2 linked regions of the Sus scrofa genome follow. The protein of the gene in region 2 purifies or fractionates together with the protein of the main gene of each other region. This does not show direct contact. Links are inferred from orthologs where the notes say so. Each region holds a gene or a part of one and is shown on either strand. Other genes may lie near its edges.

What was found. Proteins that work in one complex are often made in the same cells at the same time.
Region 1: the proteins of KIFAP3 (region 2) and KIF3C purify together in Homo sapiens (co-immunoprecipitation; 3 studies listed by BioGRID and IntAct, counting the BioPlex papers as one, with this or other methods). This does not show direct contact. The link is inferred for Sus scrofa from reciprocal best matches to the Homo sapiens genes KIFAP3 and KIF3C.

The regions. Positions count from the first base shown.
Region 1 is NC_010445.4:112,976,773-112,980,427, reverse strand, and holds part of KIF3C (kinesin-like protein KIF3C), read right to left. Parts: coding exon 2,528-3,655; intron 1-2,527.
Region 2 is NC_010446.5:81,102,809-81,105,765, reverse strand, and holds the end of KIFAP3 (kinesin-associated protein 3), read right to left. Parts: intron 1,235-2,957; coding exon 1,126-1,234; 3' UTR 631-1,125; downstream 1-630. UniProt on the Homo sapiens protein: Involved in tethering the chromosomes to the spindle pole and in chromosome movement. Binds to the tail domain of the KIF3A/KIF3B heterodimer to form a heterotrimeric KIF3 complex and may regulate the membrane binding of this complex.

The DNA of each region.
Region 1 (3,655 bases), on a different chromosome or scaffold from region 2:
CCAGCGGTGCCTGAGGGACTCTAGGGAGGCTGGGGTCCTCTGGCTAGGTTCATCCTGGGCTTGCTGGCTGCTGTGTGTCCTGAGCTGGGTGTGAAAAGAAGTTCCAGGATGTGGAATCATTTCCCTGGAATGTCCCAGGCATCCCTCCTGCTTCGGTCATATCTGAAAGCCGGGCACATGATGACAATTTCACCTGGTCCACAGGGAGCTGTGTCAGACTTCTCATTAGGCGACTGGAAACCTGAGGCCTGGAGAGGCCAAGGCCTTCGCCCTGAGTCACACAGACAGCAAACATGGAGGGATCCGAGAATACTTGGGAAGAACAGACTTGGGTCTGGGGGCCTCAGAAGACCTGGGTTCCAGTCCTGGTTCTGTCACCTATCAGCCCGGGTCACCGACACTGTCACTCACCCTCCCCTGCCTTGGTTTCCATCACGGAAATGGAATAGTAATACCCATCTCTTGAGGTTGCTGGGAGGACTCCATGAGAATAAAATATAAACACTTGCAATAAAACCAATTATTCTGATTATCAAGGAGCACAGGTGACAACAATACCAGGACCCGGGTGAAACGGAAAGAAGCTGGACCCACTGTAAAGAGTCCGGCTCTCCCTCACTCACCTGTGCAGCCCTGAGCAAGCCTGGGCCTCAGTTTTCCAAGGCCCCGGGCAGCTGTAAGATGGACGTGTCTGTGGCTTATGCCTCTGATGTAAGAATTCTGGTGCTGGCCGCCCTGATCTCTTGACTGCCCTGCTATCTACGCCCTACATGGCCTTGGATCCAAGACTCTTACCAGCGAGTGGCCAACAATGGGAGATCACCTTGTTCCCAATGGGAAGGATCCGTTGGATCCCTTGCTCCATCCCTCCCACCCATTTCCTCGGGGCTGAAGTGCACTCTCTCAGCATCTGCTGCCTCCCAGCTTTAAGGGTGGGTGGGGAAGGGGAGCAAGGGGTGATGCGGGGGCTCTTGTAATGAAACTGACGACAGAGTCCCCATGTCAGATTCCCATGGAAAGCACAAGCTGCCTGGATTCCCTTCCTCCTCGGGACAGCTGAGTCCTAACTGTCCTGCCTTTACATCCTGCCTCTCGCAGGATGGCTCCCAATGTGCCAGGCTCCTGATCCCTTCTCCGAGGAGCTCCTGGAGGTGAATTAAATATTAAATACGCAAGGCCAGAGGCCCTGGTGCAGCAGCACGTTCTCATAACACAGACAATGGCACGCAGCCCATCAGTCTCTCTTCCAGCGGCTGCCACTCTCCATCTCCAGGTGGGGCTCCCCTGCACCCCAGCCTGTGCTCCTGAGAGGGAATAAGAGATGGTGAGGTTTTGCTCTCCCCACCAGGTCATGGTCTGGTTCTATGTGTCTTTCCTCCAACTCTCAGTGTTAAGGGCTCCAGGGACCTGGAAATGCCTGGAACCTGAGTTGTGGCATCTGCAGCACTGAAAGTGAACAGTTCTGTGGTTGGCCAGGCGATGGGGGTGGGGGTCCCTCTGTAGCTTAGCTCCACCGGGGCCTGGAGGGAGCTAAGCTCAGGAAGGATGCTGAGGCCCTGATGTCTCCCAGGGCAATGGGAGAACTGGATCTTACTGGGATGAGGCCTGGAGGTGGGGGTCAGTTGGTTGGCTTCTCAGATTAGAACCTCAGAGATGACCAGGACCAAGCTTCTAATTTACAAAAAGGGAAACTGAGACTAGGAGAAAGGAAGAAGCAACTTCGAGGTCACTGCAGTCCAGCTTGGCCTTGATTCCAGGTCTCCGGTGCAGAGCTGGGTTCTTTCCGACCCTCTGCATGACCTCCTTCCTAGGACTCCAAGCAACGGCCCTGCACCACGTGGGCCAAGCTGACTGCCTCCACTGGGAGCCCGATCCCCTCAGAGTCCCACCTCGCCATCTAAGAACTGAGAAAGCACCAGGGCCACGGATGTCAGTGTGGCTCTGCCACCTTGTGGGATGGACCCTCAGTCACGCCACTTTTCTGAGCCTTAGACTCTCACCTGTAAAATGGGGGTTTAAGAACCAGTACCCCAGATGGCTACTGTAAGGATCAATGAGATCATGTGTGAGGGGCATTTTACAAACTGTGACGCGAGATGTAAATGTCAGGTATTAAAGTGGGGTGAGGGCTGATGGTGCCTCGAAGGGAGGATGTCCCAAGGGAGGAGGCGATGCAAGAGTGGGAGCTCACACTCAAATGAGGCTGAGGGCCTGCCTGACTGGCCACCGACCTGACCAATACGGGGGCCACCGGCAGAGACTGACAGGCGGCAAGTCAGGCCAGCCCAAGCTCACTGGCTTGAGAGACCGCCTGCCTGCTTTGGGGTGTGTGTGTGTGTGTGTGTGTGTGTGTTCTCCTAGGTGCTCCTTGGAGGCTCTGCCAGTAGCCCAGAATTGCAGGAATTTGCCTGGCTTCTCCAGGGGAGCATTTGGCAGGAGGGCAGGACACTTTGCTTCAGGCCACATCACAGTCCCTCAAAGAAGAGCCTGTCAGCCCAGATCCCTCTGGGACCCCTGGAGCCCTTACCTTGTACTTGGCTGCGAGCAGCTCGGTGGCCTGCTGCTCCCGCCGCAGGTCTTCCAGCATCTTCTCCTTCTCCTCCAGCAGCTTCTGCTTCTCCTCGCTCACCAGGCTACGGTCATCCTGGATGGCCGCCTTCTCCTCCTCCAGCCGCTCCTTCTGCTCCTGCAGGTAATTCTCCATGTTCTTGTCCAAGGCTGACTCCAGGATGGGCTGCGGCGGGCGGTGGTTGTTGTTATTGTCATCCTCCTCTTCCGCCACCCAGGCCTCAATCACCGGCCCCTCCGGGTACCCGGCTGGGGCTGACACGGCCTTCTTCCTGCGGCTGCTCTTCCTCCGGAGCCGCTTTCCTAGCATCCCCTTCTTCTCCAGCTGGGCCTTCAGGCGCGCAATCTCCTCCTGGAATTCCCGTAGCAGTGTGTCCTTGGGGTCCTCGTTCACCCGGGGCTTGTTCTTGATGTTCTTGGCCCGGTTGGCAAAGCGCAGGGTGGACAGGCTCTCATCGTAGCTGTGAGACGCTGGGCCCAGGGTGGCCACCATGATGGTCTTGGCGTTCCCCCCCAGAGAGTCCTGGAGCAGCCGGGTTAGCTTGGAGTCCCGGTAGGGGATGTGGGTGCTCCTGTTGCCTGCCAGAGCCGCGATCACGTTGCCCAGGGCAGACAGTGAGAGGTTGATTTTGGAGGCTTCCTTAGGCCTCTCTCCACCACCGCCACCTCCCCCACCACCGCTACTCCCTGTGGACTGTGTGGCTGTCCCTCCAGCTGTGTTGGGGCCTGCCTTGTTCTGCCTCTCGCTGCCCGCCAGGTCCACCAGGTTGAGCTTGCCCACACGGATGTGGTCCTGGCCATCTGAGCCACGCTCACTGCACTCCACGGTGATGACGAAGATGGCATGGGAGCGAGAGCTGACCTCGTTCATGTGCGTGCTACCCACCGCCCGAGTCTGGTTCCCCAGGTTCATCACGTGCTCGATCTCCTTGACATTCTTGGTGACGAAGGAGGAGAGGTCCTTGATGTAGACACCCGTCTCGGGGTTCTCCTTCAGCTCTAGCCTCTTGCCAGGCTCCTTGGAGAGCAGGTCTCGAATCTCCTCCTGGTAGATCTCCAGGTAGGAGGCCCGAACCAAGTACTGCTG
Region 2 (2,957 bases):
CTTAAAGTATAAATCAAGCACAATAAATAGTATAGTAGATCAGTAAGATTTTAAATTCATATCTTTGATCTATGTTTTCCCTTCAAAGTCTCATATAAGTCCTTCCATAGTAGGTGCTCAAGGAAATATATGTAGATTACAGTTATCTATTTTATTTGCTCTGTTTTCCAAGTAAAATGTCCATATTGTAACATGAATTATTTTTCACAACTGTCTCCCCATTTCTTACTACCTAAATCTTATAAAAACAATCTTATTAATAAATCATTATTGTCTTTCCATTTCTTACTGCCTAAATCTTACAAAAACGCTTAGAAACAGTTATCTAAGTGAGCAAAATATTTTGTTCCTTAGTTTTCTTCAATGAGACTTACAATTAACTTTTCCATACTTTAGATTTCATGAATAAAATTTTAAAACCCAGTAATAATCTAGTTTCATGTATACTGATAGATGTCCTAGGTTTTTTAAATTAAAATCAGAAATACAAAATTAATTTGAATTAATTGCTTAAGAAACTACTCATAGAACATAGTTATGGTACATGTTCCACTGTTAATCAAAAAACCATAGTTAATAACTTTGGGAAGCAACATATCAGGCACATGGCATGAAATAAAAAAAAGGTGATATTCTTGTAAATTTTAAAGGTAGCACATATATGAACCACTTAAGAGATTTACAAGGGGGAAAAAGGACAGGAAAAAATAAAATTCATATTGCACTCCTAAAAGCATGTAAACTCCTAATGACATACATTAAATAGAAACACATGACTTCTGCTAATTCATTTGTACTTTATGCTTCTTTTTAATAGAAATTAAATTAGTCAATTAATGTACATAATGTAGAGTTTGTTTCCCAGTCTAGTTGCTTTTCAGCATTCACTTTTGAGTCTTAGGGGAAATGTTACTCAGCATTAAGATAAGTGAACAGTGTCAAGTATCAAGTATACTTAACATAGGACAGAAGGGGCTGAAGTTAATCTGGAGCTAATCACATGGAACAGTAAAAAGAAACACAGACCGCAATATTATCAACATGCATTATTAGGCCAAGATTCAAAGCTAAGCTAGACTGCACAGATCTCTTCTAAGCTGAGAGCACACAGGGAAAGGGATGACTTTATCGAGATCCATAGCCATAGTAGTAAGGTTCATCAGGGCGGAATCCGTAAGCTGTAGCAGGGCGTCCAAGAATGCCAACTGACTGGCCAAAGCCATCTATTCCAAGGCTAAAAAAAGAAAAAGAAATAATCAGTTATATTTTTCATCCCAGGGCAGGTCAAGCAAGAAGGCTGGAATTTTATACCTCCAAGATTCTCTTCATAGCAGCAAAACTGATTTATGTAGTTGACTATCATTAACCTTTTTTCTTCTTTAAATTAATATACCCATAAAAATGTGTATAATAAATATTTACTTCTAATAATTTGTGTTAAAAATGTTGAAAGCCTGTTATCAGGTGTCATTCAAGATAAAGATCAGAAAAGTTTCAATAAATTACATTCATATATGGTTTTATGCCAGAATATGAAAATATTTTACATGCTAGCAATTATCAGTAATACACTGCTGGGGAAGGATAAATTAAAACTGTAATAAAATAAATTCTTCTACTTATAATAAGATCTCTTTTTTTATAGGACTAATTCACTATTAGTAAGGACATGGAATTGAGTTCTAGCAGTAATCTTCTCACTCAGAGCAAAATCATAATATAAACCTATGACTAAAAGAATAAGACTAAGATTTTTACAAAATTTGATAGTTGGCCAGATTTGATCTGCAAATTCTTCTGACTCTTCAATGAAAATTTATTTAGTACATGTTTTGAGTGACAGCAAGTTAATTATAAAGTTTGACTCAATTTATTCTATGGAAATAGTAGAAGCCCAAGATAATATTCAGAGTTATACAGGCAGACTGAACCCTGGATAAATTTTAAAAATTATTCTTACATGTTAATAATAATTTATTAAAAATCACGTTTAAGAGTCAAAGAATTATCACTTAGCAAAACGACAAGATATTTATTTTGCCAGGCAAATATGGCAGCCATAACATGCTCATGCATAGCTCATGCAGTGAATGCTAGTGAGCTTATTCCCAATCAAAAGAAATTGTTATGCAGAAATGTAAACTTTAAAAAAATAAATACAAATGAATATTATTTGAGGTAGATTATGCTAGGTAGATAACTTTCCCTTTATCAGCAAAAACTCAATATTATTAAAAATATATTCATTTAGACACTAACTTCCTCTCACAACTCAAAATAAGATTATGCTAAAACACTTAAGAAATAACTATTAAAATGCTAAATTTTAAATAATTTGTGTGCATGTGTGTGTGTTAGAAGTGGAATAAAGGGCATGTAATCCATGCGAATCTACCTCCTAGGAGAATGGAGTTTCTGAAATATAAGGTTTAGGTTAGCATTTGTAGTGAGTGATCCTGGACAAAACAAACTTTCGGGCTCCTTCTATAATTTCTGAAAGTTGTCTGAAATTTTTAAGTCCGAATTTTATTTTGAAATGGCAAAATACAAGGCCCTTTCTACCTTTGTCCCATGGAAAGAAAGATTAAAGTTTCTGATGAAGGGAAATATTACTCTAGAGGTAGATTTAAAGATGTTTTAGATATTTAGTTCATGACTAAGACACATCTGTATCTGTTTAAAATTAGGGGAAATGTTGGCCATTGGAAAATTTTCTCTTGAAGCACTAAGGCTAACAAATACTCATGTATCTAAACAACTGTCAATAATATAAAGAATAACTGTATAGCTTGTGACTTTCAACTCCTTTTTTCGTCTTTCTACTTATTACCTGCCTTCAGCCACTCTTTATGTTTTTTAGTGTCTCTTCTGAGGCTGAACAGCGGCAGACTTAGATAATACTCAAGTTATTTTTGTCTCTGTTTCTCAGTCTAGGGCTGTGGTGCTATCTTTTTCAA